Linked DNA regions of Oryctolagus cuniculus. The protein of the gene in region 1 interacts with the protein of each later gene in a pairwise test. Links are inferred from orthologs where the notes say so. Each region holds a gene or a part of one and is shown in the gene's direction. Other genes may lie near its edges.

The links.
Region 2: the proteins of HOMEZ (region 1) and SMYD1 interact in binary tests that used the Homo sapiens proteins (3 or more experiments, as listed by UniProt). The link is inferred for Oryctolagus cuniculus from reciprocal best matches to the Homo sapiens genes HOMEZ and SMYD1.
Region 3: the proteins of HOMEZ (region 1) and SH3RF2 interact in a two-hybrid assay, tested with the Homo sapiens proteins (2 studies listed by BioGRID). The two-hybrid records come from large-scale screens. The link is inferred for Oryctolagus cuniculus from reciprocal best matches to the Homo sapiens genes HOMEZ and SH3RF2.
Region 4: the proteins of HOMEZ (region 1) and ELOA interact in binary tests that used the Homo sapiens proteins (3 or more experiments, as listed by UniProt). The two-hybrid records come from large-scale screens. The link is inferred for Oryctolagus cuniculus from reciprocal best matches to the Homo sapiens genes HOMEZ and ELOA.
Region 5: the proteins of HOMEZ (region 1) and RNF8 interact in binary tests that used the Homo sapiens proteins (3 or more experiments, as listed by UniProt). The two-hybrid records come from large-scale screens. The link is inferred for Oryctolagus cuniculus from reciprocal best matches to the Homo sapiens genes HOMEZ and RNF8.
Region 6: the proteins of HOMEZ (region 1) and LRRC7 interact in a two-hybrid assay, tested with the Homo sapiens proteins (2 studies listed by BioGRID). The two-hybrid records come from large-scale screens. The link is inferred for Oryctolagus cuniculus from reciprocal best matches to the Homo sapiens genes HOMEZ and LRRC7.
Region 7: the proteins of HOMEZ (region 1) and DEF6 interact in binary tests that used the Homo sapiens proteins (3 or more experiments, as listed by UniProt). The two-hybrid records come from large-scale screens. The link is inferred for Oryctolagus cuniculus from reciprocal best matches to the Homo sapiens genes HOMEZ and DEF6.

The regions. Positions count from the first base shown.
Region 1 is NC_091443.1:51,758,801-51,761,928, forward strand, and holds the end of HOMEZ (homeobox and leucine zipper protein Homez), read left to right. Parts: coding exon 1-1,523; 3' UTR 1,524-2,628; downstream 2,629-3,128. UniProt on the Homo sapiens protein: May function as a transcriptional regulator.
Region 2 is NC_091433.1:115,839,260-115,842,214, reverse strand, and holds part of SMYD1 (histone-lysine N-methyltransferase SMYD1), read left to right. Parts: intron 1-894; coding exon 895-1,063; intron 1,064-2,366; coding exon 2,367-2,525; 3' UTR 2,526-2,955. UniProt on the Homo sapiens protein: Methylates histone H3 at 'Lys-4' (H3K4me), seems able to perform both mono-, di-, and trimethylation. Acts as a transcriptional repressor. Essential for cardiomyocyte differentiation and cardiac morphogenesis.
Region 3 is NC_091437.1:33,520,294-33,523,793, forward strand, and holds part of SH3RF2 (E3 ubiquitin-protein ligase SH3RF2), read left to right. Parts: intron 1-2,165; coding exon 2,166-2,521; intron 2,522-3,500. UniProt on the Homo sapiens protein: Has E3 ubiquitin-protein ligase activity. Acts as an anti-apoptotic regulator of the JNK pathway by ubiquitinating and promoting the degradation of SH3RF1, a scaffold protein that is required for pro-apoptotic JNK activation.
Region 4 is NC_091438.1:147,226,842-147,230,056, reverse strand, and holds the end of ELOA (elongin-A), read left to right. Parts: intron 1-108; coding exon 109-220; intron 221-1,179; coding exon 1,180-1,346; intron 1,347-2,341; coding exon 2,342-2,403; 3' UTR 2,404-2,715; downstream 2,716-3,215. UniProt on the Homo sapiens protein: SIII, also known as elongin, is a general transcription elongation factor that increases the RNA polymerase II transcription elongation past template-encoded arresting sites.
Region 5 is NC_091436.1:132,279,698-132,283,197, reverse strand, and holds part of RNF8 (E3 ubiquitin-protein ligase RNF8), read left to right. Parts: intron 1-2,958; coding exon 2,959-3,087; intron 3,088-3,500. UniProt on the Homo sapiens protein: E3 ubiquitin-protein ligase that plays a key role in DNA damage signaling via 2 distinct roles: by mediating the 'Lys-63'-linked ubiquitination of histones H2A and H2AX and promoting the recruitment of DNA repair proteins at double-strand breaks (DSBs) sites, and by catalyzing 'Lys-48'-linked ubiquitination to remove target proteins from DNA damage sites.
Region 6 is NC_091438.1:102,839,357-102,843,394, reverse strand, and holds the start of LRRC7 (leucine-rich repeat-containing protein 7), read left to right. Parts: upstream 1-1,238; 5' UTR 1,239-1,425; coding exon 1,426-1,484; intron 1,485-4,038.
Region 7 is NC_091436.1:134,127,577-134,131,076, reverse strand, and holds part of DEF6 (differentially expressed in FDCP 6 homolog), read left to right. Parts: intron 1-1,977; coding exon 1,978-2,118; intron 2,119-2,646; coding exon 2,647-2,832; intron 2,833-3,500.

The DNA.
Region 1 (3,128 bases):
CTCCGATCTCTGAGGAGCTACAGCTCGTATGGACCCAAGCAGCCCAGACCAGTGAGCTGGACAGCAATGAACACCTGCTGCAAACCTTCAGCTACTTTCCCTACCCCAGTCTAGCAGACATTGCCCTTCTTTGCCTACGTTACGGGCTGCAGATGGAGAAGGTCAAGACCTGGTTCATGGCCCAGCGCCTGCGCTGTGGCATTAGCTGGTCCTCTGAAGAAATAGAAGAGACTCGGGCCCGCGTGGTCTATCACCGGGACCAACTTCATTTCAAATCCCTTCTCTCTTTCACTCATCACGCAGGGCGGCCCCCAGAGGAGGTGCCTCCTTCTCCAATGCCACACCCGGAACAAGTCGGTCTTGGAATAGGTCCTCTGACTCCCAGCGCGCCCACTCAGGTGAAAGGACTGAAGGTCGAGCCTGAGGAGTCCTCTCAGATACCACCATTGCCACTAAGTCACCAGAAAGCAAAGGAGCCCTTGCTGACACCTGCCAGTGGAGCATTCCCCCATCAATCTGATTTTTGGCAGGATCTTCAAAGCAGTAGCCTCTGTAAGGAGCAGGCAGGTGGGGGTCCTGAGCAGTCACGTGCTGTAGGCACTGCTTCCTGGAACCACTCCACAGGTGTCCACCAGCCGCGTGCTAGAGATAAGCCCCCACCGGTCTCATTACTCGCCAGTAGTTGTAAGGAGGAGTCAGCATCTAGTGTGACTCCTCCTCCTTCCTCTACCTCTTCTTCCTCTTACCAGGTACTGGCTAATGGAGCCACTGCCACCTCTAAACGCTTGCAGCCACTGGGCTGTGTCCCACAGTCACTGTCACCCAGTGAACAGGCACTACCCCCACATCTGGAGGCAGCCTGGCCCCAAGGGCTAAGGCATAACTCAGTACCAGGTAGGGTTGGCCCCATGGAGTATCTCTCCCCAGATATGCAACGCCAGCGAAAGACTAAACGCAAAACCAAAGAGCAGCTGGCTATCCTCAAATCCTTTTTTTTACAGTGCCAATGGGCACGACGTGAGGATTACCATAAATTAGAACAGATCACTGGTTTACCTCGTCCTGAGATCATTCAGTGGTTTGGTGACACACGCTATGCCTTGAAGCATGGGCAACTAAAATGGTTTCGGGACAATGCAGTACCTGGTGCCCCTAGTTTCCAAGACCCGGCCAATCCTACACCACCACCATCGACCCGCTCTTTGAATGAATGGGCTGAGACACCACCTCTGCCGATCCCCCCACCCCCACCGGATATCCGACCCCTGGAGAGATACTGGGCAGCCCACCAACAGCTGCGGGAAAGTGATATCCCTCAACTGAGTCAGGCATCAAGGCTTAGCACCCAGCAGGTTCGGGACTGGTTTGACTCTCGATTACCTGAGCCAGCTGAGGTTGTAGTTTGTCTAGATGAAGACGAAGAGGAAGAGGAGGAAGAATTGCCAGAAGATGGGGAGGAAGAGGAGGAGGAGGAAGATGAGGAGGACAACGATGACGATGATGATGTGATCATACAGGACTGATGGGGGGGTGGGTGGGGCTGGAGATTGGAGATGAACCAATTTAGTAACTGTTTAAACAAAGAAACCACCTCTTTTTAATTACTTTGTGGCAAAGAACTGAAAAGCTCTCTGTTCTTCAGGGTGGGTGAGGGGCATAGAGTGAGGGTGGGCCAGGGAGGATGACCAGAGGACACAAAGGAAACCCAGGCCTCCAGCCTCATGGTAAAGACTACTAAGGATCTGGCCAAATGATGGGCTGGGAGCCGGCTCCTGCTTTCCTGTATCTGCTGGTTTTTCCCTCAGTATACTAGAGGCCTGACCTTGGCCCCGCATCAGCAGGAGGGCTGCAAAGGAGGAGCAAGCAATCCTGACACAGTTGGTTCCAGGGCATCCCCAACCCCACCATTTCCCCTAGAATTCAAGGCTGCCTTGCATCCTGCTTTTCTCTCAGAGTACAGGTCCATGCGACATACAGCTAAGAGTCTCAACATGTCCCAGTCTCATCACAAATAACTCCTCTTCCTCATACCCACCTGACGTTACCTTTCACCTGCCTCATCGGTGAAATCACACAGGCAGCAGAATGTTCTCATTTCCAACACTGGGACCACTTTGCCTTGTACTTTTTATCTCTTTCCAAAATCCCCTCTCTGTTCTCTGTTTGTCTCAGGGTAAATCTTCCCCCCACAGAGTTTGTGGAAAAGTTTAATAACGGTGGAGAATACTTTTGACTGGATATTTATTGAGGTGGGAGTTAGGAGAGATGTCCTTTTAAAACAGAATTATAAGGTTGGAAGAGGGATGGTTTTTTCTAGTCAAAGGGTGTTCCATGGAAGTAGGTTCCAGGTTTGGTTTTACAAACCTGACACTACCTCCTGTCCAGCTTGACAGAGACTGGATTTTCATCTTTTTGCTATCGGGTCAGTTTTTGTCCAGAAAAGAGGCTTTTCCTTCTCTCTAAAGGATCTGAATTGGAGACAAAGGGACCATTGTTTCTCATGGAATTTATTATCGATGTTTTAGAATGGTTTTCATTGGTTGGGTTCACATATAAAGCAAATAGATAACCATCTAAAAATAAGATTGGAAGCCTCTGATTGCTAGAATAAAAAGGCCAAAAATAAAACTGTTTCTCTCTTCTCCACTTTGCCACTTCTATGGTTTAGGAATTAATGGAACCAAGTCCATTCATGTTTTTATATTTTGAAGGGGCAGGTGTACTTATGAGGTGAACTGAATTTAATTAATGAGGTTAATTTAACAAAAAACTTTCAAAGGCAGCAGGTTAGCATCTGTCACCAGGCAGACTCTGCTTCCCAGCCGCCAGGTGATGAGGAGGAGGTCTGAGGCTTCAGCAGTGACAGTCTTGGAGACGACTTGTGTGGCCATTCCAGCATTCTAGAGCTTGTAACAATAGAGTTGCAATAGTCAATAAGAAGGCATCCTTTTCATTTTATTATCTACATGCTTGAGTAAGCTGAAACCCTGTCTCCAACTGCTACTTTGACAAAGGAAAATCAACACATTTAATAGTAAGTAGGCCTGGAAGAAACACAGGTAAACAGAAAAGTGTGATCAGTGAGGACAAAGACCAGAGTTGTTACTTGTTAACACTGGCAGTGGAAC
Region 2 (2,955 bases), on another chromosome or scaffold:
GCTAACCCTCCCTCCTGCACCCCCAGCAGGCATTAGTAATCAATAATGATTCTCTTTGTAACTGAGCCTTTTTATGGTGACCCTCTGAGCACAATATCCAGTCAGAGTTGGGATTTGGGATACAACCTATTTGTCACCCCTGTTCTTTGTCAAATTCCCCATCTCATCTACCACTCGGGTGGCATCTTACGCTTTTTGTCTTCTTACTTCTAATTCCAGCTTAATGAAAACCTTTCCTAACAATCAGCATAAGCAATCTTGCAAACTATCTTTTATTTTAAAAAACAGAAGATACACCTGCCATCCTTGCTTATAAATTGTAAAATGCGACTCCCTTGCCTTCCCTCTGCAAATAACCACTCTTGCCTTCTGTACCCATTTTGGCATGTGACTGAATTTCTGGCCAAATGAGTAAGTTGGCACAAGAAGGTTCATTTCTTGGGAGAGGCTGCTAGTCATAAAAAAAGCGCGGGTGGGCTGTACAATGTACTGAAAAGAGAACCCCTGCCAAGAGGTGTCATGGAGGTGAAAAATACAACACTGTCTCCCCCTTGAATGTCCCGTCACTCCCCAGGGAGGAGGCTGTGGCAGTCCTTCCTGAGAGCTTCCGGCTCCCTGTATCCAAGCCCAGAGGGCCATCCTGGCTCTGTTCTCCGAGAGGGCTTGGATTGGTGGCCCAGGTCTGAGTGCTAGCTCTCACAGCCTCATCGTGGGGGTGGGGAGGTGTTTGGCAAGTCTCTGCACCTGGTTTCCCTCTTGGCCAGCCACAGATGCCTTGTAGCACCAGTGGGAGAAGCAGAAGGACTTAACCCACAAGGGCACTATACCAGCTGTCCAATGACATACAATTGTAAAGATGGTTGCCATGATGGGTCTTGATTATTTGCCCTACAGGAAGCTCTACCACCCCAATAATGCCCAACTGGGCATGGCTGTGATGCGGGCAGGGCTGACCAACTGGCACGCTGGCAACATTGAAGTGGGGCACGGGATGATCTGCAAAGCCTACGCCATTCTCCTGGTGACACACGGACCCTCCCACCCCATCACCAAGGACTTAGAGGCAAGTAGAACCGAGGGCCCGGTGCTCCCTGCCTAGTCTGACCTCCCTGAAGATACCAGTCTGAGGTCAGGTAGACGCTGCTGCAGACAAGTCCAGAAACTGACATCTATCCCAGAGGGGACTCAGAACACTTCCGCCTGCTCCCCTCGTTGTACAACTGAGGAGACTGAGGCCTAGGGGTGGGGAGTCATCTGTCTGTGGTCACATGACTGGCTGATGGCAAAGCTGAGACTTGAACCCTTAGTCTGTGGCAACTTGATGGCCCAAGCCTGCCCAGAGAAAGCCCAACAGCGGTGAGTGTGTGTGTGTTCATGTGTACAGCCATCTGTCCTAGAAAGTGCTCTGTGCTACAGAGAGTGGAGTTTTGGATCAAAAGCTCTGGAATCACTCTCGGGATTAAATTCCAGAGTGGGAAGCTTTCTAGCTGTGTGAGTTTGTAAATATTGATTCTGTAGACCTCAGTCTGCACATCAGTAAAATGGGTGAAGAAGATAGCATTGCGGTGAGGGTTCAAGGAATTCGTGTGTAAAAGCCCTTAGCACGGCATCTGACAAGTGGGGTGATGGCAATGGCTGCTGGTTTCCTTTGTGCTTTGAAGGACTGGTTTGCTGGAGAGTGACAGGCAGTCCTCAGACGGTGCAGTCCAGGGACAGCTGACAGATTTTGTGTCATGCATTGGCTTGCAGAATGGCTGTAACAGGACTAGTGTGACATCAGCTGTGGCTGTCCCTTTACTAGCAGGTCATCAGTCTTCTTCCCTATAAAACGGGACCAAGCAAGGAACGGAAAGTGGAGGTAGCCACTCTGTCTTGCGTGCTGCTGGGTCAGGGCAGTCTTTGCTATCTTAGTCACTGGGGTACCCTCAGCACCCTCAGCGGCCTTTAGCAAGGATGTTCTGAACAGGTATATGGCAGAAGGAGAGCTTGCCTGAGTGTCACACTGCTCTCTCCCAGCCCACTGCAAGTTTCCCATTTCAAGGGTGAGAAAATTGAGGGCTAGGTCACTGGCCTGAGGTCTCATTAAACACAGGAGCCAGGGTTCAAATCCAGGTCCTCACACTTTCAGTTCCTGAGAACAAACTCCCTCTGCTGAGAACAATCCCTCCAGTCACTCAGGGATCTGACTCCCTCTCCCTAACACTCTGGGCCCCTGCCAGGGCATGAGGCCTCTGGTGCTTGAGTATGTGTGTGTCCTGGGGGAAGACTTGAATCTTGGTGCCTGAGAGCCACTCACCCCAAGGTCGGCCCAAGGCCACATGTCCTGGGGCCTTGCCACCTGTTTATGGTGTCTCTGTGTCCCACAGGCCATGCGGGTGCAGACGGAGATGGAGCTGCGCATGTTCCGCCAGAACGAGTTCATGTACTACAAGATGCGCGAGGCTGCCCTCAACAACCAGCCCATGCAGGTCATGGCCGAGCCCAGCAACGAGCCAGCCCCGGCTCTGTTCCATAAGAAGCAATAAGGACCCTCCAGGTTGAGGCTGGGGGGCAGCATGGCTGGGGAACTGAGGAGCGATTCTGGAGGTGGTGGGTCTTTGGGAAGACCCTTGATGAAGAAGTCAGGGTGACATGCAATCTTCTTGCTGTGAGAGTGTCTTGTCTTGTGTTCCCATTGTCATTTTGGTTCAGTTCAATTCATTTCCATGTAATGTACCTCTCTCAATCCAGCCCAGCTCCTCCTACAGATATTCATTGGATGCTAGACCCTAACATCCAACAAAGGGTGCTCTGAATGTAGTGGGGTAGCGAGGCAAACTGTCAACAATGAAAGCACCAGGTAATAAATGCAGTGGCAAGTTATATTGGAGAGAGAGGGGCTGGCCAAGAATATGTGAGTCTGTTGTGTGCGTGTGAGTGGCGTGGAGTGGCGTGGAGAGGAAGACGTCAGAGCTG
Region 3 (3,500 bases), on another chromosome or scaffold:
TGACAACCTGCTGGGCCACCAGCCCCACGATTCTGGCCCCTTCCTTCCACCCAACCTGCCTCCCTTCCACAACCTCAAGTCCCCTCTTCTGCATGTCCCTCCCCCCGCATTCTACACACGACATAAATAATCCCTCTATGATCACTTTGGTAACTGACCAATCCTTTCAGTCTTACGTTTTCTTCTTTATAAAGTGGAAATAAAAACAACATCTACTTCATGAGCATGCAGTCTAAGGATTTAATAAAATAAACCATGGAAGGCTGACGGCACAGAGCCTGGCACGTTGAAAGCCCTCCAGAAAGGGTAATTTTGAATAAAAGTTTTATTTGACTAGTGCTACCATTGCCACTATAGCTAAACAGACCATCTTGGGTTCAGGTAGACCACAACTGAGCTTGGAGTCAAATTGTTCACAGTGTAGACCACTTAGGAGTGCAGAGAACGGCATCCCACAGGTGTCCGCTCGCACTCCCCTTATTATACTCCCCTCCGCTCCTCCCTCTGCATGAATCTTGATTGGCCTGGCATTTTGCTTGCCTTGTGTGTACTTGGAATAAGAAAGCATTCACTGTGTTGGAAATTAGGAACCCACAAGATAAATGGGTAGGGCATGAAACCAATTTTTCACCCATTTATGGGAGCCTAAGGACCTGTCTGTCTGGTGCTGCTTTGGCCTCCTAGGCCCCCAAGGCTTTCTCCTCTACCTTTTCCCAAGGTGAAGCGGGACAAGCTATCAATCTCTGCAAAGCAAAGCAAAATGACAGGGGAATTGACCATGTACACCTCACAGGACTGTCAGTGGAAAAATCAATGTCTAAATTGAAAGGTCAGCCTTGTGTAGACGGTGACGGGCTTGCTTGAGGCAGCTGAGAACCCCGACTGTGTTTAGTGAGTGTTTGGCTCTTCATGTTCACATCTGCTCAATGAAGAGCCACAGTGCACAATGTGGCCTGGCTCGGGCCTCTGTGCTGGACACAAATTACTTTGGTCAAACACATGTCTGTGGAGTGTCGCAAAGGACAAACATATCTGGCTGGGACACAGCCAGTGGCTGTCTACGTGTCTCCAGCCTCCAGAATGTAATGAAGTCCTAATTCCCCAGGTCACCTGCAGTGTAGGGATCTCCTGTCTTCAGAGAATTTGAGGGAAAGGGAGGGCTTCCTTTTACTGAGGGAAGACCTTCTCAATCTTAAGAAGAAGGAAGAAGAACGAGTTCAGGAAGGATCAAAATCAAACCATTAGGCCTTGCATTTTTAGCGTATGCTACCCTTTACCCAGAAGGAATGAATGGTAGCTGACGAGGAAGGGGCATTTACCATGTCCCAGGCACTGTTCTAGTACCTTGCACGCATCGTAATACGTCGTCCTCACCACAGTCCCGTGACATCCTCTCATTACCTCCTGCTCACCAGTGAGGGAGGTGATGTGACTTCCTCATCCCCAGCTCCGGGGGAGGAGGTCTGATTCCAGACCCTGTGTCACAACACCTGCAAAGCTCGCCCACACACAGCCCTAACACAGGAATAAACTTCCCGAGTATTCCACTGAGTGGCCCATTTGTCCAGCATGAGCACTCTCTACTCCTTCCACTCATCTTCCCTTGATGCCACCAACACACACCTAAAGCTCACATTGGGACTTTGTGCAGCAAGCAGGGGTACAGCACCTCCCTCCACCCCCTTTATCCTCCTCCTCATTCTCTTAGCTGTCTTCCTCTTGTGTGTCTCAAGTTCTCTGTCTCTTGTGTCCTTTCTCTGGTCTGCCTGCTTCTTACTAAAAAGCTGTCTCTCTTCTTCAATCTGTCTCAAAAGCCTAGGAGAAAGGAGTGTGTGTGTGTGTGTGTGTGTGTGTGTGTGTGTGAGAGAGAGAGAGAGAGAGAGAGAGAGAGAGAGAGAGAGAGAGAGAGAAGGGCAGCAGTGTACCTCTGACATGCCTGCCATACATACAACATTCAGCTAGCCAGTTATTTGCTGCCAACATCAGCAAATAGCACTAAAGAAAGAATAAGGTCACCTCTCAAAGACCCTAAGAGAATGAGAGTGTAGTCCAATTAGGAAAGCACTTAACTACTCTGGGATATCAGCACACACTGCTTCCCCAGCCCCGACCACACCCACTGTCTGCCGCCCTGTTGCTGACATCTCTGTCGTGTCATTCCCCAGATGGATCCTTGCAGAGACCCGTTCCATCTGGGATCCCCACCCTTGTGGTGGGCTCCCTCAGGCGTAGCCCCACCATGGTGCTACAACCTCAGCAGTTCCAGTTCTACCAGCCTCAGGGGGCCCCCTCATCCCCCTCAGCGGTGCTGGAGGTGGGTCCCAAACCTGCTCCTATGGGAGAGCCAGCCCTCACCTGTATGAGCAAGAGCAGCGACTCCAGGGTGCACTCGGCCGCCAGCTCTCTCATCATGGAAGGCAAGGAAATCCCCATCAAGAGTGAGCCTCTGCCAAAACCGCCTGCTTCTGCTCCACCATCCATCCTGGTGAAACCCGAAAACTCAAGAAATGGCATTGAAAAGGTAGGAGGGGCTTAAATCTGCAGCCCTGACTCTGCAGGCCTCCAACTCTGCATGGTGTCCCAGCTCCTGAAACTTTAGTGTTAGCGGACAAGGAACAAAACTGCAGCCTCAAAAGAACCCCCCCACACACACATCTCCATACCCATCACCACTCCCAGACACGCTACTGATTATCTGTTGTGCTTCCCAGGTATGTTACATGAAATGTGCTTTTGGCACCAGACAAATCTTGATTTGAATTTCAGCTCTGCTGCTTGCTGGCTGGGCAACTTCAGCCAACATACTTCACCCTCTTGAAACTATTTATTTAGTTATTTATTTAGCCTAATCTGTTAAAGAGGAATAAGAATAACAACAGCCACACAAGAATGGCCTTTTTGGATGAGAAGATATAGGAAGCATTTACATGGGGTTTGAAACATAATTATTGTATTAAAGAGGCAACTAAGACTTCCAGGCCAGGGCTTTTCCCAGAGAAGATACAAGTCTTGAATATTCTTGAAGCAGGAGGGATGGTGGAAAGAAGAAGTGACATTAAGAAAATCAGGTGATACTCATTGTGCCTTTTAGTTTTTTACACACCACCACCACCATCATCATAACCACTGCTATTACCACCATCTCACCATTACCACCTTCCTACCACCATCATCATCATCAATACCACCAACAGCAGCAGCACTCCCACTACCACCATCATCCTCACCACCAACAGTACCACCAGCAGCACCACCGTCATCACTACCACTGTCACCACCATCATCATCCTCACCACCATCAGCACCACCACCAGCACTACAACTACTACCATTACCACCATCATCACTACCACTGTCACCACCATCACCACTAAGAGCACTACCAACACAGTTACCACAATACCACTGTCACTCACAAATGCAAAAGGGATGTGGGTTCCTCCTATTTGGTAAGCACTTACTGAATACTAACAACCTGATAGGTCTTCACAAGTCCCATC
Region 4 (3,215 bases), on another chromosome or scaffold:
TTCTGGGTTGATGAACAACCTCTAGCTCCGGGGACCTGGACCGCTGCAGATGGCGTCTCTGCTCAAGGAGGCGCATGGGCAGGTGGGCAGCTCCATGTTCCTCCACAGGCAGACAAGCAAAGATGGCCTTCGTCAACTCTGTGGCCAAGCCGCCTCGCGACGTCCGAAGGAGGCAGGAGAAGTTCGGAACGGGAGGAGCAGTTGTCGCTGACAGAATCAAGTAAGCGCTCTGTTCTTGCTTGGGGAAGAGAGCTGGGAGGTCGTCTTCCCCACTGCGAGGGAGCCGTGGGTGCGGGAAGCAACTCGCCCATGGTGGGGATGGCCCTCGGCCAGCTCAACGCTCTGCCCCCCGAGCCTGGACTCCTGGACAGCAGCATAAGGCAGATTGTTTTCCTGTGCCTTAGGGCTGTCAGGATTAACCTGGACACAGGACCCGGCACAGCGGAAGCACTCACTGGCTTTCCTTTTCCCTGTTTAAGCAAAATTATTGCATCTAAGCCACATAGACATTTTCTCTTTATTTAAAAAATTTTTTAAAAATTTTATTTATTGGAGAGGTAGTTACAGAGAAGGGGAAAGACAGAGAGAGAGAGAGGTCTTCTATGCGCTGGTTCACTCCCTAGATGGCTGCAGCAGCCTGGCAGAAGCTTAGCCTGCTGTGCCACAGTGTGGCCCCTACATGAGCATTTTCAGAAGAGAGTCCGGAACCTAAGAAATGAAAGGAGATGAAGCCAGCGTTGTGGCACAGCGGGTAAAGCAGCTGCCTGTGGTGCCTGCATCTCGTGTGGATGCTGGTTCGAGTCTTGGTTGCTCTACTTCCCACCTGGCTCCCTGCTAAAACACCTGGGAAAGCAGTGGAAGATGGCCCAGATGCTTGGGTGCCTACACCCATGGGAGAGGCCAGCCCCAGCCATTGCAGCCGTATGGGAAGTGAACCAGCGGGTGGAAGATCAATCTCTCTCTCTCTGACATTCAAATATTATCTTCATTTAAAAAAAGAAACAGTGAGAGTTGAGGCTCTCATTCATTCTGAAAGGCTGATGCAGCAGCCATCCCTGTGCCGCCACCAGAATCCAGGGCGCCCGCATCCGCCGGTCAGAGCCGCAGGAGGAACCACACTGTCCGTGCTGAGGGCAGATCTCTTCTGCTCGTGACTGCCCAGCTGTGTTCTTGTTACAGGATTAAGCCCGCCCCGTACACCGGCGGAAGCAGCCACACCTCCGGCAGCAACAGCTTTAACGCCAGCCCCGAGGAGCCGGCCTACGACGGCCCGAGCACCAGCAGTGCCCACCTGGCGCCAGTGGTCAGCACTGTTTCCTACGATCCTCGCAAGCCAACTGTGAAGAGTGAGTAACTCGGGTTCCTGCTGAGCCCCCTGCATGCAGCGACTGTTGCATTGCGTCCTGTGTGTGTGTGTGTGGGGGGGGGGGTGTTGCTTCTGAAGGACGCCTCCCAGGCGCTGGGCTGCACGGCGGCCCCTCCTCCCCACCCCGCCATGTCGGCGATGGTGTGAGATCGTAGTATTGGAGGTAACATGAGCCTGTTTCTCTGGGGAAGTGGTCGTTACTACCGACAGCTAAGTGTAACATCTTACTTGAGTCTTATAACCTTCTAAATATTTTTTTTCTCTTTTTGGATCTATTTTTTACTTTATTAGCTTCATTACCATAGACCAGCAGTAGTCTGTGATAGAACCGTTTTTCTGCCAAGGGCCATTTGGATATGTATAACATTGTTCGCTGGTCCCATGCAGAATTATCAACCCACAAATCAGCCTGCTGTAGATGTATTGAATCTTGAGTGCCGCCTGAGGTTGCCTTGGCAAGGCCAGCCCAAAGGAGCTGTGGGCTTTGCACGGCCCACGGGTGCATGCACGATCCCCAGGATCCCCAAGGGAGTCCTGACTTAAGTATTTTGTGTTCTTGGCTGGGCCCAAGCATCAGGTTCACCTGTTGCGAGTCAGGAGTTTGTGCGGCTCATCTCGGACTTGGACAGCATGAGGGACGGCGGGAGTGCTGGTCACTGATTGGACATCTGCGAGGCCACGTTAGATTACTGCCGAGTCTGGCAAGGAGGGAACCCCAGCTCTGCCCTGACACAGTGACCGTGGGCCCTGCGGGGGCCGGGGTGAGAGCGGCGGCCCCGCCCACAGGTCCTCAGCGAGTGCCGCTCTGTGCTGTCGCCTCTGTTGCGGTGTCAGCAGATTCACTGATGGCATCCGTCTGTCTGCCGGTGCACAGCGGAAAGGGGAAAGGCTTGGCGCTGCTCGCAGACCCCGGTGGTGCCGGCGCGTGTCTGCGCCGCCACAGATCTAAAGCGACTGCCCGGTTTCTTTCTACAGAAATTGCCCCGATGATGGCCAAGACGATAAAAGCTTTCAAGAACAGATTCTCCCGACGATAAAACTGAGGGCCCTCCTGGGAGCTGGAATTGTTGGGGGCAGGAAGAGAACAGTGGAGGCCGGGGGTTGGAACTTCCGAAGGAGACCAGGAGCCTTGCGTGGTGAAGACGGTGGTCCCTGAGCGCGGGCGATGCCCGTGCGCCCCGGCCCGGCCCCACTGCCTGCAGCACACTTCAGGATTCTGGAGGAGACGTGAAGCCTCAGTGCACTGAGGATTTTAAGGTCAATTATACTTTTGTTGTTAATTAGCATCTTTGTAAACTATAAGACATAGTTTTAATTAATAAATATTGCTCCCAGATTGTATTTATATTCCCCCCCCCAGCTTTTTTTTTTTTTTTTTTTTTTTTTTGTTTGGTCCTCTACCACTCACTTAGCCTTTTTCCCCCGGGTTCTTTATTAGAGTTCATGAAAAGTGCAGAACAAGCTATTTCCCTGTTCCAGCTCGGCTCTGCTGGGCGGACTCCGGTCCGGAGGGAGGCCTGTGTGGGACGAGGAGTGCCAGGGAGCGAGCCTTCCCGTGGGCCAGGACCGCTCCACGTTCCCGCGCCGCGGCATCTCTCACTCGGTCACTAGTGTTCATTTAGGGAGGCTGTCGGCCAGGGCGCCCGCTGCCCTCCATCCACTTTGTCAGTTACCGCTGTGTTTCCTGGGTTCTGTTTGTTTTGCGGCTCACCAGAGGGCACAGAACCTTGGGAGATGAATTTGTACCGAATCCCAGCATTTTGATAATTTCCAATTTCTGATTCAAAATTTCAGATTTTATTTATTTTTTTCCCCACTTTTCTATCTTTCCTGCTGTCCCTCGGCATGG
Region 5 (3,500 bases), on another chromosome or scaffold:
TCTAGTCCTGGTTGGAGCGCCAGATTCTGTCCCGGTTGCTCCTCTTCCAGTCCAGCTCTCTGCTGTGGCCCGGGAGGACAGTGGAGGATGGCCCAAGTGCTTGGGCCCTGCACCCGAATGGGAGACCAGGAGCACCTGGTTCCTGGCTTCGGATCGGCGCAGCACACTGACTGTAGTGGCCATTTGAGGGGTAAACTAAAGGAAGGAAGACCTTTCTCTCTGTCTCTCTCTCACTGTCTAACTCTGGCTGTTAAAAAAAAAAAAAAGATAAAGTGCCTGCTTATGATGTTCATATTCTAATAAAGGGGAAGGGAAAAGTAAAACAAGATAATTTTGGATCATGGTAACTGCATGCTAATAACATGAAGAAATACAATGGGGGAGGGGAGCAGATAGCAACAAGACCTGAGGCGCTGAAACTTGAAAGGTGACAAAGCACCGCATAAAGATCTGAGAAGTGAGTGCCCCAAGCCAAGTGGACAAGGGAGAAGGCTCCCAGGTCAGTGGATGTTGGAGCGGGAGGTGACAGAATGAAGAGAAGGCCTGATGGCTGAAACAACTAGCGTCTGGGCTGTGCATGGCACTAAGGGAAAGGCATGAAGGCGGTCAGGACATTGGCGGCTTTACGGCTTTGGGAAGAAGTTTGGATCATTGAAAGATTTTAAAGGAAGAAAGGAAGTTACCTGATTTAAAGTTCTTATTACCACTCCAGCCGGTGTGTGTGTGAACAGAGTTAAGGAGGATGAGAACAGGAACAAGAAGCCCAGTGGTTTGGACTTGGGTAGGGGTCATGGGGATAGGAATGAGTAGGCTGAGATGTGTTTGAGTCACTGCCATAGAATCGCTGCCAGTTGAGATCTGGGGCTGAGGAACAGATCGATCAAAGAGGGCTTGTGGGTTTGGGGCTGAGCAGTTTGTATAGATGGCAGTGTCGGTTACTGAGATGAGAGTTTGTGGAAACCTAATAGATTAGGTCAGAGAGAGTCACGGTCCTCAGTCTGAGGGACAGAGGAAAACAGGCGTGAATCTGAAGATTTTAAAATCGATAAAGAGTAGTTTTTCAAAAACCACAGGTTTTAATTTAATGTTGCCAGCTACGTTTACAATGTGGATCATTAAGGAGGTGGTTTATGCACTGAGAACAGCAAGCATGGAATTCTAAGCCTAGATGACAGAAGAGTTTCACTTCCCACCTTCGCTGGGCTGTGTGAACCAGACAGGTCAGTCAGGAAAGCATGACAGTTGGGAATTAGCGTTCTGTTCAGCCTTGTCCCTGTGGGAGACAGAGGACTTGGACTCAGTGCAGAAACTCGGATTGGATTATGACTGAAGCTACACTCAGACTGTTAGTAGAAGCTTTCTTGAGAGCTTTGTCTTTGGCTACATCCCATTTCAGTATATTTGTGTCTTGGATGAAGGTACAGAAAGCATATCAATTTGGTGAATGATTTAAAGCTGCAAGGAATATTGAGTATGTCTGATCTGATGGCGGATTAAAAATCAGAAAAGTCTTGACAAGCCGGTGTGATAGGCTGAACTAACAAGATGAAATTTAATAGGGATCAATGTAAGGTCCTGCACTGGAATCCAGATTTTTCCAACTAGTCAAGTACAGGCTGGAAGAAACATGATTTAGCATAGCAGTTCTTGGGGGAGGGGAAACATCTCTAAGTTTGAGGATATCCTTCCAGGGCACTGGATCTGCTTTGAAAGCTAATGCCATTTATATGCTGCAGTGGTAATATCAAGAACTGGGAAAGTGATGCTTGGCCTTGATTATGTAATGGAAATTAAGTTTATTTTTCTTAATATGGCATCCAGGTGTCGCTCCCCCTCTTCGTGGAGGAACGACACTAAACCCTGCCTAGGCTTCATATCCGAGTCATGGCACCATTATGCCGCTCCCCCTCTTCGTGGAGGAACGACACAGGACCCTGCGCTGTTCTTTCGTCTGCTCGGCCCTCCCCGGGTTTGCTGCTGGTTCTTCCCGGGTTGGCTACTGTCCCTTCCACCTCCGTGGAAGGGCAGTTCCCCCTGGCCACATTCCCCACTTCCGCAGGGGAGCGGCACACTGCCAGCCGGCTCTCTCGGGGGCTGCACAGGTGTTCCCCTTAGATGTTCCTGGTGCATGCCGTCTCTCTCCTCCTTTATAGTCCTCCTCCGCCAATCCTAACTCGGCTGCCCACACGCCGAGTACGCTGCTCTCCTCCAATCAGGAGCGAGTCCTACAGTTTATTGGCTGAACTGGAGGCAGCTGTGTAGAAGCTGTTTTCTTCTCTCCCAGCGCCATATTGTGGGAGAGCAGATGCATAGAATAAGTCTTAATTCCAGTAACTCAGTCTAGTCCGGGTTGCTCCCCACATCCAGGAATAAAGATAAGCTAGGAGTCCTTTCACAGATCAATTAGAATGACAGAGATTCAAACCCGTACATTGGAGGAAGGTTAAAGTAACTAGGTTCCTGAGCCAGGAAGAGAGAAGACTTGGTAGATAGCTGTGACTTGGAAAGGGAGTTGGGGATTTTCTGATAGTGCCCAGGACAGAGCCTCAGCCAATGGATGGAATGTATAGGGAGAAAGGACCACTGGAAAAGCAGGGGGCCTGTCTCATCTAAACGCTGTGGTTCTTGGCTGTGTTTTAGATTTGTTGATTGGGATGTGTGGAAATAATTCCTTAATGTCATGGGTGATTGAACCAGATGACCTTTCCAGGACCTCCTAACCTTTACATTCCATGGTTAATCCCTTTCAGCTTCTTCTTTTTGTAACTTCTTTCCTTTTTCTGTGTGCTGGCTTTGTGGCAGCTGAAGAGGAAATCGCCGAGGATCTATGTAGGTTTTGCAGGAATCCGGGTTTCGTAGGTCAGGATCTGTGTACCACACTAGTTGATAAGCTTGTAGAGGGCCTCCCTATTTCGCATAATGATTGATTGTGTCTCTTCATTGTTGTTACCTTCCTAGGTGTCTCTGGGACGAGGATTTAGTGTCACATACCAACTGGTGTCAAAAGTCTGCCCTTTGATGATTTCCAGAAAGCACTGTGTTTTGAAGCAGAATCCTGAGGGCCAGTGGACAATTATGGACAACAAGGTACAGGAAATCACAGAAAGAGGACTAAAGATTTTTAAAATTTTTAATTTATTATTAATTTTTTTTGCATAGATAATTTATGAAGCAAAATGCAAACGGTTTACCTGCTGCCCTCCCACCCCATTCTCTTTCCCAGAGGCAACTACTGCTCTGTTTTGCTAGAGATTAGATGATGCTAAAATAATTTCCCATGACTTAGATTGAAGTTGGTGCCCTTAAAGTGAACATTTGCGTTGGAGGCCGTAGGTCCTATTCCAGAAACTAGATTAAATTGCTGTGGGAATTGACCCTTTTGATGCAAGATCCAGAAACCCTAGAATCTTCTACAGCTTTTGGAGTTCACCAGAGGGAGGAGAAAGAAAGTGAGCTGATTGCATTAAGCTCCTTTCTTTCCCCACTGCTTTAAATCAGAG
Region 6 (4,038 bases), on another chromosome or scaffold:
CTCGGACCACCGCAGTAGCCTGCAGCGGCGGGAGCGCACAGCCCCCTCAGAGCTGCCCACTGCGCTCCGGCCCCCGGGGATCCTCGCCCCGCGGAGGCGCAGCTGCGGGCAGAGCGTGGTACGGAGTTGGGTGCCCGATTCGCCTCGCCTGCTCGTCTCTTCTCCGCCCAGGATTTATTGTCTGTGGAGCCTTCTGGGGGTGGGGAAGGAGCTGCGCCTCCGCCACCGCCACCGCCGCCGCCGCCGCTGCCGCTGCTGCTGCGGTCGCTAGCGCGGCGCGCAGGGCAGGCGGAGGCTGGGGAGTGGACGCGCTCCTGCCTCCCCCGCCGGCGCTTCGGGCTTCCCCTCGGCGCTTCCCGCGGGAACCTCTCCAGCCGTCCACCTGAAGGGCACCGGCACCATGGTCTAACGTGGCACCTGCCTGGAATCCCCTCTTTCTCCTCCTCGTCCTCCTCCTCCCCTCTCCTCCTCCTCCTGCGAGGACCCTCGCGCCCACTCCACTGCGGACCACCGAGCACTTTAAGGAATAATCCTTGGCAGCTGCACCTCTCTCGCTCTCCGGAACCTCATGGGCAGTTTCTCCCACCGGCCATGTGAGTAAGGCACTTTCTCTCGGTGACTGAGGGGACTGCGGGGGTCTCCCCGGAGGTGAGGGTCTCCCTCCCCCCCGGGGGGGGCGGGGGCGGGAGGGCGCGAGGCTGGGGCGCTCGTTCCGAGTAGCTCGCACGGTGGCCGCGGAGGCGGCGGCGGGGATGTGGTAGGTTTCAGGGCTTTTGGAAATTGGGTGCTAACTGGGCGGGTGCACGGGAACACCGAGTGGTCTGGGCTGGCGAGAGACCCTAAAGGGTTACATACTGCGAAAAGGAGAGGTAAAGAGCGAACGTTGGGAGCTGGTGCTGGGACCACTGCTCCAGCTGAGGTTTGGCTAAAGCTCCTCTTCGTTATCTTGGGCATCTCGGTTTGCTTTTGCCAGGAGGTGTCTGAGGGATGAAGCGCGTGTTTAATCTCTCTCTCTCTCTCTCTCTCTCTCTCTCACACACACACACACACACACACACTTGTGGCAGGTTGCACTTGTCCCTTTATTGTGGAAGGTGTTGGATGACTGTCTTAATTCGTATGGATTTGACAAATGCAGTTAGGAGATCTTTATGCCATTGGGGTTCGGTGGGAAAGGGTGGGGTTTGTGGGGATGGAGTGGAGGAAGGACCATGACAGGCTGGGGGACAGAGAGAAGTGGGGTGGCGGTAGGGTGAACGCTTTCCCTGGGAGTCAGGGAGAATGATGGCCCCCTCCGCTGAGCTACACAACTCCTGCCTGCACATCTCCTTTGTGTTGCACTGAGAAGCTGGTGAACCTGCACTATTCCCCATCCAGCCGGGGCCCCCTTCAGCATTTTGCATCCTCCTTTCTGAGGCGTTTAGGATGCAGGACTTGGTTCGGATCCTACGAGGAAAGAAGAAGGGAAGCACATTAGCATTAAGGTGATCCTGGCACCCTGGCTCGCGGGCAGTTAGATTGGCTACTGGCGGTCTGCAGTTTTACTGTTTGCGGAGTCAAGAACAGGGGCGGCGGGTAGGGGGTGCATGGATTGCTTTTAAAGACAGTGTGACTTCATAATAGACGAGATGGCTGCAAAATTGCTTCATTACACTACTTCTCGGCCATCAGGGCTGAATAAAGGACCCGCCTCCGCCCTCTCCTCCCTTTCCTCTCTCGCAGCCTCCTCCCCACCAAGGCACAAAGGGAACGAATTGGGGAGGGGGGGCGGGGGCGGGAGCGCGCAGCGGGAGGCGGAGAAGGGAAGGGGTCACTTTCACAACTCCCGGGAATGGGCTTCAGAAAGGAACCATCTGCGACTCCCACGTTCCTTTCGGAGTTCTCCTTCCAAAAGCGAGGGGGGTGGGGTGGGATGGGTGACACACGGGGGTCTTCCACCTGCTCTTTTCGGTTACTTTCCCAATACACCTTGGACATACCGAATTTACTTGCAGGGGTAACTGGGTCAGCAGGTAAATATACGTACCTGTATACGTTGAAATGTAGCCCTCGTGATGGATGAAAAGCAGTTTGTGTGTGAGCAAAATTTCTAAGCACAATAGAGATTTTATAGCGTGGGCGAGAAGAGTGCATTCCAGCGAAAGCAGGACACGTGATCCCTCCAACGGGAGAGATACAGTGTTAGGAACTCGGTTTTCTTTGTTCCAGGCTGAGCCTATGAGATGCTTAGCATCCCGGCTGCTTAAGTCGTTCTATAAAAGGGCAAAATAGTCAAGTTGGCCAGAGGTGAGAATAAAGGGGGAAAAGATCATGCGTAAATCGATAAGCTGTGAAGGGCTTGAAACCTCCTCTGCCATTTCTTTTTTACTGCCCACCTTCTGTCTAACCCCTCCCCCCAGCCGGCCCCCTATTTAAAAATCAGGCATTTCCAATGGGAAAGCGGTGGAAAAGTTCTCCAGCCCCTTCACACGTGGGCTCTTCAGCGCCTCAGAACCTGCCTGGATTCCAAACAGAACTTACCACCTCTCCAGTCCCAGTGTCACGCCTCTATCCTGGGCTTCATTAATCTGACTTCCGGATTCTAAGGGAACCACCAGGAGATCTTTTTTGCAAAAGACAGTATGATACTCAAGTCCCTGCCTCCTGGAAACCCCTGATCCCAGCTAGGAAAGAATGAGAAAGTAGGGATGTAGGAATGTTTATTTTTCCTTAGGAATATCAAGACAAAAGCATACTGGAGGTGTGTTTAGCAAGGACTGCATTTGGACTCCTGTGTTATCTGAGGGCTGTGAAATGTCCTACGGTCTGGTTATTCATTAATTTAGTGGAGTTAGAACCTACTGCCTACCCAACACTAATTTAGAGTGACCTGACTTGGAGATTTCTTGTATCATCTTTACTCCACTTTTTATAAGCCATCTTAATGGGCTGAAGTTTTTTAAACTGTGGGCTATTTCTGTCTCCTACTTCATTGCATCATACTAACTTGTGTGGTAAGGAAAGCAGAATCAATTTCCATAACATATCATGAGAACTCCTTATACATTTTTTAAACATTTGACTGTCCAAGAAAAGATGCGTACTTAACCATGGCAACCGTTACGTTCTCCATCACTTATGCTTGCACATATGCAGCTTCAGAATTAGAAACAACTTCCTAAGGAAACAGATCTGGTCCAATTACAGTAGCCATGTTTTATTCAGAATTTTAGCATAGCTTTAGGCTGACATTAACATTTTCTTAATTAAAATCTAATTCTACTTTCTTTCACGAGCTTTTAATTTTTTTAATTCCTCTGTAAAATATAGAACATAGACCTAAAGTATTGTTGTGTTTGAATTTATGCTTTGGATTTTTTTTAAAAATGGAAAGATACAAATTAATATGAATCCTTATTTCTTAATAGAGTTATTAACCATATTATCTACCTGGTGTTAATTTTTCGGGATATTTCTCAGCCCTTCTTTCAATACATAATATTGTATGATACTATTTGATGTAAAAACCTAATATCTTTAACCATGACTTAAAGCATATACTTTTTAACAACACTTGGAAACTTCAGACACATTAGATTTTAATAGATATATCAAAATTATATCTATTGATATTACAATTCTATTTTCTGAAAGACTTTGTTCTCATTTTAAAGGGGATCACACATTCTATAATATTATAATTGCATTCCAGAGTCAACCAAGTACACAAAGAGTAAACAACTATTGATAAATTATCATTGGAATTATTTATGGATTCTCATTAAATTTTCCATATTAACAAATTATTTAATATTTTTCAAAATTCTGAATTTTGAAAATATATGCTACTCATTCAACCTGTCAATTATAACAACCATTCATAAAAGACATTATGTAATTTATTGTTCTAGTAGCAATGACAGGTTGGTAGAGTATTATCCACATTATTTTTGTGAGTCTAGTTAATCAGTGGGAGATGTTGAGTATTTCAATATTTTAAATGTAATGATAATATTAAGATAGTGGTTTATACTAGAGTGTAACAGTTATAACCTATAA
Region 7 (3,500 bases), on another chromosome or scaffold:
TCCAACTTCAGCTCTGCCATTTACTCTTAGATCCTCCAAGCCTCCTTATCTTCAACTGAAAAACAGAAATAATAATACCTGTGTGACAAGGTCAGGAGACTAGAAGGAGGCTGGGAAAAGCCTCTCGTACAGTGGCTGGTGCATGCTAAGTGTGCAATGGTGACTGTTTCTAATCATTCACACCGACTATGCTAACAGCTCTTACAGAATTACCCCAAGGCCATTGGATACATGAATTTTTTTTTTTTTATCACGTCTTGAAAACTTCAACTCCTTTGTTCTAATATCATGCATTTGTTCAATGAACCACATTTCCCTGCACACTGTCACAACCACGATGCCCTCTCAGCCGTGGCCCCCACTTCTCTTGGCCTTCTCTCACCCCTCCCAGCTCCCTTCAGTCTTCGGAGGGGTCCTTCCAGGACACACACGGCTGGATGCTAGGCAAGCTGCAGTCTGCACGCTGAGTCTGATGGAAACGGACAGATTCGGGACTTCTGCCCTGGGGTGGCAACCACCTCCCTGCAAGCTCTTAGGCTTTGGAATCTGACAGGGCTGGATTTGAATTCCAAGCTCTTGTCTTCTTTTCTTTTCTTCCTTTTCTTTTTCTCTTCTCTTCTCTTCTCTTCTCTTCTCTTCTCTTCTCTTCTCTTCTCTTCTTCCTTCTTCTTCTTCTTCTTTTTTTTTTTTTTTAATATTTATTGGGACTAGCATTGTGGCATATAGGGTTGAGCAGTTGCCTGTGACACTAGCATCCCATATGGGCACCAGTTCGGGTTCCAGCTGCTCCACTTCCAATCCATCTCCCTGCTGATGTGTCTGGGAAAGCAGCAGAAGATGGCTCAATTTAAAAGGCAGAGAGAGAGAGAGAGAGAGAGAGAGAGAGGCAGGCAGGAAGGCAAGAATCTTTCATCCACTGGTTCATGTCCCAGATGGCAGCAACAGTCAGCGGTGGGTCAGGCCAAAGTCAGGAGCATGAGCCGGCGCCGCGGCTCACTAGGCTAATCCTCCGCCTAGCGGCGCCGGCACACCGGGTTCTAGTCCCGGTCGGGGCGCCGGATTCTGTCCCGGTTGCCCCTCTTCCAGGCCAGCCCTCTGCTGTGGCCAGGGAGTGCAGTGGAGGATGGCCCAGGTGCTTGGGCCCTGCACCCCATGGGAGACCAGGAAAAGCACCTGGCTCCTGGCTCCTGCCATCGGATCAGCGCGGTGCGCTGGCCGCAGCGCGCTGGCCGCGGCGGCCATTGGAGGGTGAACCAACGGCAAAGGAAGACCTTTCTCTCTGTCTCTCTCTCTCACTGTCCACTCTGCCTGTCAAAAAAAAAAAACAAAAAAAACAAAAAACAAAAACAAACAAACAAACAAAAAAAACAAAAAAAAACAAAGTCAGGAGCATGGAGCTCCATTCGGGCGGCAGGAGCCCAAGCACTCAGGCCATCTTCTGTTGCTTTGACAGACACCTTAGCAGGGAGCTGGATCCCTGAAGTGGAGCAGGTGGAACCTGAACTGGAGCCCATAAGGGATGCCAGTGGCACAGGTGGTGGTTTAGCCTGCTGCACCACAACACAGTCCTGGAAACCCAAGCTCTTGCTCACTGTGGATCCTTGGGCGAGTTAATGAGCCCCCTGGGCCTCCGTGTCCTTGTCTGTAGACCTAATGGGGTGGTTGAGATTATGGCTGCCTGGGTTGGAATCCTTGCTCTGCCAGCCGCAACCTCGGATGAGGAATATTTCGGGGCCTCTGGTGGTCTATCCTCTGCAAATGGGATATGAGTAGTTGTTATGGTGGCCAAGTGAATAACACATTAAGAACTTTTCTCTGGGCTTGGCGCATGGTAAGTGTATGAGTTTTACATATCACTGAACTGAACAGTGGGTGCAGAGACCTCAGCCAGGATGGGGGTGGGGACAGGCAGGGATGTGGGAGTGCTGGCCTGGTTTTGGTTGGGGTATAGGAAGGCCCACTGCCACTGTGTCTCAGGTGCTGTCCCACAACCTGTACACGGTCCTGCACATCCCCCATGACCCCGTGGCCCTGGAGGAGCACTTCCGAGATGACGACGATGGCCCCGTGTCCAGCCAGGGCTATATGCCCTACCTCAACAAGTACATCCTGGACAAGGTGCGGCCCAGCTTGTGGGACACCTCTAGCCTCTCGATGCTTCCTTAGCCCGGCCAGCGTCCCAATACCTTGCCACTGCAACGTTTTCTCAGATAGGCTTGCTCTTCTGCCCTCTCTGTCCATCCCTGCTCTCCCATCCTGTCCTTACATCCCAGCCCCCCTCCTTGTCCCTTTAATGTCCTTCATCTGTGTTCTGGCCTCCAGACTGTGTCCCAGCTCATGACCTCTCCAAGGGACCCTCCACCCCCCCCCGCCCCCTCCCAGCAGTCCTCCTGTCACCTTCTTCCCAGGTTCTCCTTGGCTGTTCATGCCCCCTGGGTTTCCCCCGCTTTCTCCCCTGTGCTGAGGGACTGGAATTCCTCTGTCATCAGGGGATTTGGGTGGGATTTGGATATGGGGGGTGGGGGATGGAGCCTGCTGCTTACCTGCTATTCAAGTCCAGGGTGGAGCCTGGTGGGCTGAGCTGGAACCTAGCTTGGTGACAGAGCAGGGATGGGGCAGCTGGCTCACCTGCAGGTCTGGTGGCAGGTGGAGGAGGGGGCTTTTGTTAAAGAGCACTTTGATGAGCTGTGCTGGACCCTGACGGCGAAGAAGAACTACCGAGCGGACAGCAACGGGAACAGCATGCTCTCCAATCAGGACGCTTTCCGGCTCTGGTGCCTCTTCAACTTCCTGTCTGAGGACAAGTACCCGCTGATCATGGTTCCTGATGAGGTGAGGGTGATGGTCGGGGGACTGAGTCACTACAGGTCAGGCCTCAGAGAAACCATGAAGAAGGCCAAATCGCTCCTGCACTTTCCCACATCCTGATTCTTTCTCTCCCCGTGCACCACACCCAGCTGTCTCCATGTATCTAGAACTGCCCACCTAGAACAGTCAGAGCAACAGTGCCTTCTTCCAGGAGAGCCAAAAGCACACTTCCATCAGGGTTCTGCTAGCCTGCACCTAGCAAAATCATCGGAAAGTTCTATTTACACAGAGACCTAAATGCCCAACATTTTAAAACGAGAGTGTTTTAAAACGAGATACGGAAGATCAAATAGTGCAGTTGTGGTGGTGGGACCACATAGGTGGGGTGCTTTGTGAGGGAAGAAGACCTTCCTGAAACAGGAGTAACTGCCCGATGACTCCTGGGGAGCACCCGAGACTGGCCCTGGCTCCCGGCTTCCCCTCGGCCTTCCTCCAACAGAGCCAAGGAGACTCATCTCAGGGTGAGAGATGGCACCCTGGGAGAAGGGGCCAGGAGTCTGGCCCCAGGCAGAGCCAGGACAGCCGTTCTCAGCACCGACCCCCCTGCCCATTTGATCTGCTCCCAACCCTTAGTCTTCGTGGCAGCTGTGCAGGTGCCAGACTGAATTCAGGTCTTCAGCGTAGGTGTCCAT